Linked DNA regions of Arabidopsis thaliana. The protein of the gene in region 1 interacts with the protein of each later gene in a pairwise test. Each region holds a gene or a part of one and is shown on either strand. Other genes may lie near its edges.

Region 1 (4,441 bases):
ATTTTTTCAAAAAACATGGTGTGGCTGTCATGACAATACGGGAGCTATTTGACTTCATAGTTGACCCGGCAATTACAGACGAAAATGTTGATAGCTATTTGGAAGAGGTAATGTATGACTTTTTATATGGATTGTCCATTGAATCAGTGGGCAGCTTTAAATTAATGAATTATGTAACAATGGGCAGGTCCAACGAAAAGTTATAGAGCGAGGAGAGATATCCGTAGAGGATGAAATCGCGGATTCAGTATTCATGAAGGTTAGTTAAGAGTGTATCCAGTTGTGTGAACTGATATGTGAAGTTGTCTGTAGAATAATCTTAATCTTACTGGTTTGTTATTGATGTTCAGTCATACATACCGAAATCTCTGGATGCTGTGAACAACCCTGAGGCTGACGTGGCTAAGATAACAAGCGGGCAGGACACAGGAGACATGCTATACCAAACGATAACGGGGCTTAAGGATGCTCTTCCTAAAATAGAAGAGCAGAAAATAGAGGTGAATGATGAAGAGAAAGAAGAGGAAGGAGAGGAAGAAGAAGACGGAGAAAGTGAAGAAGGAAGTGAGGAAGAAGAGAGTGAAGAAGAATTGGGTCATGAAGACAAGAAAGCTGCAAGGAAAGAGCACAAGAAGAAAGTGAAAGAGGAGAAACGAGAGTCTAGGAAGACGAAGACACCCAAATCTGTCAAGAAGCGAAAGAAGAAAGTCTCTAAACCACACAAGACTCGTTAATCCGAGTTAGAAGTTTTGACACCCCAACTTGTATTTTTATTTATATTTTGAAATTTTGTGTCAAATTCTGGGAAATCGAGTATGGACCCAAAGCTCTCTATATTTCCAAAAATAGCAAGTTCTTGTAATATTCATAGTATGACTTTATTATAGAGCCCGAAATTGGTTTGCTGCTGTTTCAAGAATAGGATTCAAATTTCTGTTCCTTTCCTCACATCCCTAACCAACTTGACAATTCGAATAATGGTTGTGTCTAAATTTATCAACTCAAGTTTTGAGATTGTTGGCTTATAGTATGAAAATTCTAATCCTGCAACTAGTTTATTTACAACATTTTTTCTTTGTTTAATGAGTTCTTGATTTTATACAGTTTAGTGTTTATGAGCTTTTCTTCTTAAGCCTCTGTTTCCATAGTTTATATCTTAATACGTGTTTTCTCTTTCTTTTGGAGCTTTGATTATCTCTTTTAAACTATGTTTTCGAAGATATCTTTGTTTTCTGCCGGTTTTGTAAGATCGGAAAATATATTTTTATTTTATAATATTAATAAAAAAGATGACAAAACAAAAAATAATGATTTTCTTTCAAACTTAATGAACATAAAAAAAAGGGAAACGAAATCTTATTTTGCCTAGCTGACATAATTAACTAATGCAACTAAATGTAGGTAGGATTAAGTAAACAAAAATATGAGACAAAATTAAACATGCCAACCTCCAGGGCATAGTCAATGGGTCAAGTCAAGCGAAAGTTGGTCTGGATCTTACAATGCAACTTAATGTAAAGTACTCATTTTTCTTCGACATGGGACATCCGCCGAAATTGTTGATTTTTGATCCATCTTTACACTTGTTTTCTCCGATTACAACAAAACATAACAATTCGACTACGATTTAACACCTAACCTTTTTAATTTTTTAGGACACGCATTTAGTATTTACGATGCAAGCCAACAAATTTAATCCAACGTATTAAACACAACTTGCTTTTTGTCAATACGTATTAAATTAAATAGTTTTCTTGCAATTTTTGTTTACACATTTCATTAGTATTGTTTTTTTCCAATATTTTTGTTTCTATGTTCAATCACTATCATATGCATAATACACATTATAATTTTGGCACAATTAGAATTACACACAAGGATTTTATAAATGTTTTTAAAATGATTTACAAAAGATTTTATAAAAATTTTACAAAAGTTTTTAAAAGATTTAATAAAAGTTTTAAAACGATTTTACAAAGAGTTTTAAAAACTTTTAAAGGTTTTAAAGAAAGTTTATGAGAATTTACAAGAATTGTAAAAGATTTATAATAATTTTTTTAGAATTAGAAAGGAGACCCTCATTTTCCACCCAAATCGTCAACCTTCTCATAATTGACAAGTTATTACACTCTCTCCACTTACTAGTTACTATAAAACCAAAGGAGACCAAATCTCTTAGCAATTATGAATTTGGTCTTCGCTATAATCTCACGTTACATTAAATTGGCTCCTGTGAACCTAAATTTATGGACTATGATCCCAACACCAATCCGTTCGACCTTCATTTCTCCGGTAAACTTCCGGTGAGTTTTTCAATTTCTTCGAAAATTTCACTTCAATTTTCGAGGTTGTGGTGATTATTCGTGGTGTTCATATATATTTTATTGCCTGATTTAGAAAAGAGAAGTCTCGGCTTCAGCTTCTAAAGTTGTAGAGAAGAAATGGTTAGTGAAAGATGAGGTTAGTTCTTTCATCGAACACTTTGGTGTGCAATACTTTGACCTCAAAATTTTTGACTATGAGTGAATGGATTAGGTTGATCAAGTTCTCATATCTGATTTAGACATTGAATAGTTTGTTTAGATCGGTGATGCTCAAAAGTTGAACAAATCAAAGCTTTGTCTTACAGCTTAGTTTGGTAATGGTGATTTTCATTTTACACAGAAGAGAAATATGCTACAAGATGAAATAAACCGGGTTAATTCGGAGAACAAGAAGCTAACCGAAATGTTAGCAAGAGTCTGTGAGAAGTACTATGCTCTTAATAATCTTATGGAGGAGTTGCAGAGTCGAAAGAGTCCTGAAAGTGTTAACTTTCAGAACAAACAGCTAACGGGGAAACGAAAACAAGAACTTGATGAGTTTGTTAGCTCCCCAATTGGACTCAGTCTCGGACCAATCGAGAACATCACCAACGATAAAGCGACGGTTTCAACCGCTTACTTTGCTGCTGAGAAGTCTGACACAAGCTTGGTAAGGAGATTTCTACTACAAGTATCGTTCTTTGAGTGTATTGATTTGTTAACGAATGTTTTGTGGATATACGTTACTTGTAGACTGTGAAAGATGGATATCAATGGAGGAAATACGGGCAAAAGATTACGAGAGATAATCCATCTCCTAGAGCTTACTTCAGATGCTCGTTTTCACCGTCTTGTCTAGTCAAGAAGAAGGTACTTTGGTTTAAACTTTGTTAAAGAGTTCTTCGATATCATCTTGCTGTCTGATTAAATTCCCTAGTTGTGTGTGCGCTTGTTTAGGTGCAACGAAGTGCAGAAGATCCATCTTTCTTGGTAGCCACTTACGAAGGGACACATAACCACACCGGACCACATGCAAGTGTGTCCAGGACAGTGAAACTTGATCTAGTTCAAGGTGGGCTTGAACCAGTTGAGGAAAAGAAAGAGAGAGGGACGATTCAAGAGGTTTTGGTGCAACAAATGGCTTCTTCGTTGACCAAAGATCCTAAGTTCACTGCAGCTCTTGCGACTGCTATTTCCGGGAGATTGATAGAGCATTCAAGAACATGAAAGTTCTCTAGAACATGTATATTTCTGTTTTGTTCTATTTTGTTGCTCATTCCTAGTAAAAAGGTAAAGATTTGTTTGATCTTGATTAGGAGGCATAGATGTCAATTTTAATGTGTGTGTATATAATTACATCAAATCTAAGTATCCAAAAAGGGTCACCCCCATTTTATCTTATGTTGAAAGAGTTTTGTTATAGCTCGGTGTAAGTATGGTAGATTGACGCTGCTTCGACAGTTTATGTATCTTCCAATGTTATCTTGTTCAGTTGTTTGTATTAACTTCCATTAGAGAAGAATGTGATGCCATTACAGACATAAAAGAAACAGAGAAACCCGGAAACAGAGTAAAACCACGAAAAACAGAGTCGGTTTAAGAGAACCAAACCAAAATAACCGGTACAGCTATAAAAAGCCAAGAAGAAAAATTATGAACCGAGTCCAAATTAGGTTACGGTTAGCTTCCAATCCCAACTTCTTCTTCTTCTTCATCTGTGTTTAGTCCCAAATTGAAGAATCAAAAGTTTCGTGTTTTGAGAATTTGACAAAAATTTGTTTATGTAATCTTAGTTTTCGCTGATTTTGAGTAAGTTATCGACATGGATATTGATGTCGGACCAGTTGATCCATCTGTCCTATACGAGCAAGACCTCCATGTTTCTTCTGCTGTTTGGGAAGGACAGGTTTTTTTCTTAATTCCCTTGCTAAATTTCAGATTTTGAATTTAGGGTTAATCTTATTTCCCCTTACTTACCTTAGGAACGAGGTCTACTTCGTTGTCAAGAACACACTTCATTGCTACATCAATGGAAACTCACTGATGAACAAATTAACCTCGTGGACAAAGCTGGTTTCGGTTACTTTCGCAAAATCGGTCCAATGAGTTTAAACAATTCACTGATCTCTGCACTTGTT
Region 2 (7,422 bases), on another chromosome or scaffold:
AAGTGCGTGATCTCATCAGATCCAATCCAAATCCCAATATAAAGGAAGAGTGAGAATTGTTGAGCTCACCTTTTGTAGACTTCACCAAAAGTTCCACCCCACAAACGTTTTCTAAATAAACCATCAGCGCATTGTTTGCCTTCCCAAAGCTCGAGCCCACCGGTGACAATCCCAGGAATGAAGACAACAGGATGTTTCGCCTTAAGACCTTCTTTTTTGAGCTTAACACCGGGCGGGTCAGGCAAAGGACCCGTGATTCGCTCCGTTACATACTGAGGGAAGCTCGCAGGCATTGCGTTGTAAAGGAAGAGAAGAAACCACCAGGTTACACACACACACCCAATGAACCAACAACAAGAATCGATGCACGACCACTTCCCTCCTCCGTTCGATTTCTTATGGTGGGATTTGGAAGATTCGTGTGGTTTCTTTTGCGAATCCTCATCGTGCACCACCTCTTCAGATGGCGGCGTCGATGGTTTCTCCGTCGGCTTTTTCCGATGAATAAGGGGCATATCTGTCACTTGAAATTAAACCAGGTTAAGCTATACGGACTTTGTCAAATCTCGTCCAGGAATTTAGAACACAGATTAGGGATTGTTAGATCAGTCGAGAGAGACAAAGAGCTGTTTCTCTGCGAATTTCTGGAACCAATCAAATCAAATTTGTCTCTTTTGTTTATTGTCGACTTTTCTGTTTTTTTCTGTTCTGGTATTATTCCTCCAAGGGACTCGGACCGGATGGCAAAACTTGACCACTTTGCTCCTGGTTCAGGTTGCGGTTCATGGTCAACCTTAGACCCGACCTATCCGTTTCGTTGATTTCATTAATTAGTCTGCGTTTTCTTGGGTGGAGTGCAGACAGATTTTCTTCTGCAGTAGGCGTTAATCCGATAGGCTCTTGTTGGGCCTCAAATAGTTCAGTAAACTTTTCGTGGGGCTTTTAGTATAGCCCATGTATTAATAACAATATTACACTTGGGAAATGACAAAAAAAAAAAAGAGAATGAAGCGGTACTCTTATATCAAAAAAACATATTGTATATCTTCGAATATGATGCAACTCATGCAACAACAATACTAGTAGGCTACATGTATTGCTCCATTTAATTACATATAACTTAATATTCTAATTCATAAACTTTCTTTTAATTATATATTTTATGTAAGTTTTAAATATTGAAAAAAAAAAAAGTTTTAAATATTGAAACATGATAAGTTTTTACATCCATTTATTATAAAAAAAATAGTGATGATGATGATCAAAATTTTGAGTACATTTTAGAGTGTTTTAACTTTTACATTTGTTGTTACAATTGTTATGAGTCTGATATTTCAAATTTCGTTTTCAAAGAAAAATCCTGAGTTTACCTTAAAAGATTAAAGCCAGTTTTTAAGAAATAAGTAGAAAAATATCAAACCAGACCTAGCTGAACCAAAAATTATACAAAATCTAGACCGGATTAAACCGGCTACCCGACGAATATGCCTAGTAAAAGTGTCGTCATCGGAAAAGAATCTTTTACATGGCTGAAACCGCAAATACGATCTTCAAGAGAGCAACATAAAAATACTTGTCAAATAAGTAAAGAAAATAAGACACTCAATATCCACACTCCCAAACCATGAAAATATGAATAGAAATCTCAATGAGCCAATCAGAGGCCAGCAAAGTCCATCTCATTGTCCCAAGCGGATATACATCCGACAAAACTCAACCTCACAAGTAGACTCTCCCTTCTTCCGTAACTATTCGTCCACGTGTCCTTCCCTCTCACCACTTACCTTCAAAACCAACGCTTCTTTTTTAGTTCCTTGGTCCGAAGCGTTTACCGATGAGAGAATCATAAACTCCCACTTGGAGCTCAAAAAGTGTAAGAGACAACCAACAAAAAACGATTCATCTCTTCTCCTATCCTCTCCTCTTCGAATTCAACGTTTGGAGAATCCAGCAGCCGCAAAATGGCTTCGCTTGTGTATTCTCCATTCACTCTATCCACTTCTAAAGCAGAGCATCTCTCTTCGCTCACTAACAGTACCAAACATTCTTTCCTCCGGAAGAAACACAGATCAACCAAACCAGCCAAATCTTTCTTCAAGGTGAAATCTGCTGTATCTGGAAACGGCCTCTTCACACAGACGAACCCGGAGGTCCGTCGTATAGTTCCGATCAAGAGAGACAACGTTCCGACGGTGAAAATCGTCTACGTCGTCCTCGAGGCTCAGTACCAGTCTTCTCTCAGTGAAGCCGTGCAATCTCTCAACAAGACTTCGAGATTCGCATCCTACGAAGTGGTTGGATACTTGGTCGAGGAGCTTAGAGACAAGAACACTTACAACAACTTCTGCGAAGACCTTAAAGACGCCAACATCTTCATTGGTTCTCTGATCTTCGTCGAGGAATTGGCGATTAAAGTTAAGGATGCGGTGGAGAAGGAGAGAGACAGGATGGACGCAGTTCTTGTCTTCCCTTCAATGCCTGAGGTAATGAGACTGAACAAGCTTGGATCTTTTAGTATGTCTCAATTGGGTCAGTCAAAGTCTCCGTTTTTCCAACTCTTCAAGAGGAAGAAACAAGGCTCTGCTGGTTTTGCCGATAGTATGTTGAAGCTTGTTAGGACTTTGCCTAAGGTTTTGAAGTACTTACCTAGTGACAAGGCTCAAGATGCTCGTCTCTACATCTTGAGTTTACAGTTTTGGCTTGGAGGCTCTCCTGATAATCTTCAGAATTTTGTTAAGATGATTTCTGGATCTTATGTTCCGGCTTTGAAAGGTGTCAAAATCGAGTATTCGGATCCGGTTTTGTTCTTGGATACTGGAATTTGGCATCCACTTGCTCCAACCATGTACGATGATGTGAAGGAGTACTGGAACTGGTATGACACTAGAAGGGACACCAATGACTCACTCAAGAGGAAAGATGCAACGGTTGTCGGTTTAGTCTTGCAGAGGAGTCACATTGTGACTGGTGATGATAGTCACTATGTGGCTGTTATCATGGAGCTTGAGGCTAGAGGTGCTAAGGTCGTTCCTATATTCGCAGGAGGGTTGGATTTCTCTGGTCCAGTAGAGAAATATTTCGTAGACCCGGTGTCGAAACAGCCCATCGTAAACTCTGCTGTCTCCTTGACTGGTTTTGCTCTTGTTGGTGGACCTGCAAGGCAGGATCATCCCAGGGCTATCGAAGCCCTGAAAAAGCTCGATGTTCCTTACCTTGTGGCAGTACCACTGGTGTTCCAGACGACAGAGGAATGGCTAAACAGCACACTTGGTCTGCATCCCATCCAGGTGGCTCTGCAGGTTGCCCTCCCTGAGCTTGATGGAGCGATGGAGCCAATCGTTTTCGCTGGTCGTGACCCTAGAACAGGTTAGTCCACTTATGACCATATTGCATTTTTCATGATTGTCATTACGCAAGAGTGGGAATGTTTTCTTATGGAGGTGGTTTACCAATTGCTGCAGGGAAGTCACATGCTCTCCACAAGAGAGTGGAGCAACTCTGCATCAGAGCGATTCGATGGGGTGAGCTCAAAAGAAAAACTAAGGTATTGTATTACCACTCATCCTTAGTGAAATCACATTCCTTCATGACTTTCTCAAGAATGTAATGTATGTTCTCATGAATCAACTCTGGCTCATTGCAGGCAGAGAAGAAGCTGGCAATCACTGTTTTCAGTTTCCCACCTGATAAAGGTAATGTAGGGACTGCAGCTTACCTCAATGTGTTTGCTTCCATCTTCTCGGTGTTAAGAGACCTCAAGAGAGATGGCTACAATGTTGAAGGCCTTCCTGAGAATGCAGAGACTCTTATTGAAGAAATCATTCATGACAAGGAGGCTCAGTTCAGCAGCCCTAACCTCAATGTAGCTTACAAAATGGGAGTCCGTGAGTACCAAGACCTCACTCCTTATGCAAATGCCCTGGAAGAAAACTGGGGGAAACCTCCGGGGAACCTTAACTCAGATGGAGAGAACCTTCTTGTCTATGGAAAAGCGTACGGTAATGTTTTCATCGGAGTGCAACCAACATTTGGGTATGAAGGTGATCCCATGAGGCTGCTTTTCTCCAAGTCAGCAAGTCCTCATCACGGTTTTGCTGCTTACTACTCTTATGTAGAAAAGATCTTCAAAGCTGATGCTGTTCTTCATTTTGGAACACATGGTTCTCTCGAGTTTATGCCCGGGAAGCAAGTGGGAATGAGTGATGCTTGTTTTCCCGACAGTCTTATCGGGAACATTCCCAATGTCTACTATTATGCAGCTAACAATCCCTCTGAAGCTACCATTGCAAAGAGGAGAAGTTATGCCAACACCATCAGTTATTTGACTCCTCCAGCTGAGAATGCTGGTCTATACAAAGGGCTGAAGCAGTTGAGTGAGCTGATATCGTCCTATCAGTCTCTGAAGGACACGGGGAGAGGTCCACAGATCGTCAGTTCCATCATCAGCACAGCTAAGCAATGTAATCTTGATAAGGATGTGGATCTTCCAGATGAAGGCTTGGAGTTGTCACCTAAAGACAGAGATTCTGTGGTTGGGAAAGTTTATTCCAAGATTATGGAGATTGAATCAAGGCTTTTGCCGTGCGGGCTTCACGTCATTGGAGAGCCTCCATCCGCCATGGAAGCTGTGGCCACACTGGTCAACATTGCTGCTCTAGATCGTCCGGAGGATGAGATTTCAGCTCTTCCTTCTATATTAGCTGAGTGTGTTGGAAGGGAGATAGAGGATGTTTACAGAGGAAGCGACAAGGGTATCTTGAGCGATGTAGAGCTTCTCAAAGAGATCACTGATGCCTCACGTGGCGCTGTTTCCGCCTTTGTGGAAAAAACAACAAATAGCAAAGGACAGGTGGTGGATGTGTCTGACAAGCTTACCTCGCTTCTTGGGTTTGGAATCAATGAGCCATGGGTTGAGTATTTGTCCAACACCAAGTTCTACAGGGCGAACAGAGATAAGCTCAGAACAGTGTTTGGTTTCCTTGGAGAGTGCCTGAAGTTGGTGGTCATGGACAACGAACTAGGGAGTCTAATGCAAGCTTTGGAAGGCAAGTACGTCGAGCCTGGCCCCGGAGGTGATCCCATCAGAAACCCAAAGGTCTTACCAACCGGTAAAAACATCCATGCCTTAGATCCTCAGGCTATTCCCACAACAGCAGCAATGGCAAGTGCCAAGATTGTGGTTGAGAGGTTGGTAGAGAGACAGAAGCTCGAAAACGAAGGGAAATATCCCGAGACAATCGCGCTTGTTCTTTGGGGAACTGACAACATCAAAACATATGGGGAGTCTCTTGGGCAGGTTCTTTGGATGATTGGTGTGAGACCAATTGCTGATACTTTTGGAAGAGTGAACCGTGTCGAGCCTGTGAGCTTAGAAGAACTAGGAAGGCCGAGGATCGATGTAGTTGTTAACTGCTCAGGGGTCTTCCGTGATCTCTTTATCAACCAGGTAACCAGATAAAAGCTTTCTCTCTTCTTTCATTTAGATTCTTGTTGGTTGGTCTCTCATGGTGTTTCTTCCTTGAATTATCTTGACAGATGAACCTTCTTGACCGAGCTATCAAGATGGTGGCGGAGCTAGATGAGCCTGTAGAGCAAAATTTTGTAAGGAAACACGCGTTGGAACAAGCAGAGGCGCTTGGCATTGATATTAGAGAGGCAGCGACAAGAGTTTTCTCAAACGCTTCAGGGTCATACTCAGCCAACATCAGTCTTGCTGTTGAAAACTCGTCATGGAACGATGAGAAACAGCTTCAGGACATGTACTTGAGCCGCAAATCGTTTGCGTTTGATAGTGATGCTCCTGGAGCAGGAATGGCTGAGAAGAAGCAGGTCTTTGAGATGGCTCTTAGCACTGCAGAAGTCACCTTCCAGAACCTGGATTCTTCAGAGATTTCTTTGACTGATGTGAGCCACTACTTCGATTCTGACCCTACAAATCTAGTTCAGAGTTTGAGGAAGGATAAGAAGAAACCAAGCTCTTACATTGCTGACACTACAACTGCAAACGCGCAGGTGAGTGAATTTTCTTTGTAGTTCATATATGGGATCAGTTTTACCTTGCAAGAACACATTCCTTAAGGTATTTGTTGAATCTGGCAGGTGAGGACACTATCTGAGACAGTGAGGCTGGACGCAAGAACAAAGCTGCTGAATCCAAAGTGGTACGAAGGAATGATGTCAAGTGGATATGAAGGAGTTCGTGAGATAGAGAAGAGACTGTCCAACACTGTGGGATGGAGTGCAACGTCAGGTCAAGTAGACAATTGGGTCTACGAGGAGGCCAACTCAACTTTCATCCAAGACGAGGAGATGCTGAACCGTCTCATGAACACCAATCCCAACTCCTTCAGGAAAATGCTTCAGACTTTCTTGGAGGCCAATGGTCGTGGCTACTGGGACACTTCCGCTGAAAACATAGAGAAGCTCAAGGAATTGTACTCGCAGGTGGAAGACAAGATCGAAGGGATCGATCGATAAACAATGGGATATAAGCCTTTCTTCTTGTAAATGAACTTAAAACTTTATTTTTGTGTATTACAGTATTCTACCAAACGACATCATCTCTCTGTGAATAAGAGAATGTTTTGGCTGACATTTTCTGACTTTATATGAATGTTGTGGAGCTTCTTCTTTCATCTCCATTTCTTATATCATATTCATATGTGTGGATTTTATATGCGAAGAAAATGAAACTATAGTTAAGTGTAAACAAACTATGGTTGAGTCATGCTTTTGCGCCAAGAAAGGACAATTTGTCTTTATGTGAATTCAAAGTGGAGCGTTTTGGAGAAGCACTAGATCTAAGGTGTTCTCACATGTATATATAAGATGAAGCTATGCTGTGAACGTGGCAAAGGGAAATGAGCAAGAGAGAGATACAATGTAGAAAGCAAGCAAGAGAGAGAGATAGCCATTAAAAAGGTGTAATCTTTGGTTTTTCTCTTGAGAGTGTAACAGAGAAGAGATCTCAAGTGTGAGACTCTTTCTCTGTGGAATTCCCTCTTGTAACTTGCTTATTCTAGTGGATTCCGAGATGTGACTCGGCCCAGACTTTAGCATAAATATTATGTGTGTTCTCTCTTCCTTTCTCACCTTTCTCCTATCAAAGTCTCTGTTCTTTTCTCTGCATATATTATGTTTCATTTCCATGTGTTGGACTCTGTTTTGCATCAAACTACTTCAGTCTTGGTTTGCTAAGGTTTAAGCTCAAGAAAGTCAATAAGTCTTTGAGCCTCTGAAACCAAACAATATGGAACAAAACATCCTTGGAAAAGTTTATTTAAATGACATAGAGAAGAAATTGCTTGGCCATATATGAATAGACCATATAGTATAAATAAAATGCTGTACAACTGGACTCCAAGAAACAATACATAGGAATGTTTAAAACTAGTATCAAGAAGACAGAAAATAAAATAATAT

What was found.
Region 2: the proteins of WRKY60 (region 1) and GUN5 interact in a two-hybrid assay, tested with the Arabidopsis thaliana proteins (one study listed by BioGRID).

What each region holds. Positions count from the first base shown.
Region 1 is NC_003071.7:10,627,566-10,632,006, forward strand, and holds WRKY60 (WRKY DNA-binding protein 60), read left to right. Parts: upstream 1-2,096; 5' UTR 2,097-2,246; coding exon 2,247-2,303; exon of another isoform or gene 2,304-2,397; coding exon 2,398-2,460; exon of another isoform or gene 2,461-2,664; coding exon 2,665-2,973; intron 2,974-3,056; coding exon 3,057-3,173; intron 3,174-3,260; coding exon 3,261-3,530; 3' UTR 3,531-3,848; downstream 3,849-4,441. Other genes in the region: AT2G24990 (Serine/threonine-protein kinase Rio1), read left to right, coding at 1-107, 188-259, 351-734; AT2G25010 (Aminotransferase-like, plant mobile domain family protein), read left to right, coding at 4,126-4,209, 4,286-4,441. UniProt on the Arabidopsis thaliana protein: Transcription factor. Interacts specifically with the W box (5'-(T)TGAC[CT]-3'), a frequently occurring elicitor-responsive cis-acting element.
Region 2 is NC_003076.8:4,386,622-4,394,043, reverse strand, and holds GUN5 (magnesium-chelatase subunit chlH, chloroplast, putative / Mg-protoporphyrin IX chelatase, putative (CHLH)), read left to right. Parts: upstream 1-1,614; 5' UTR 1,615-1,961; coding exon 1,962-3,366; intron 3,367-3,461; coding exon 3,462-3,544; intron 3,545-3,643; coding exon 3,644-5,446; intron 5,447-5,535; coding exon 5,536-6,012; coding exon of another isoform or gene 6,013-6,016; intron 6,017-6,099; coding exon 6,100-6,477; 3' UTR 6,478-6,737; downstream 6,738-7,422. Other genes in the region: PDAT (phospholipid:diacylglycerol acyltransferase), read right to left, coding at 70-515.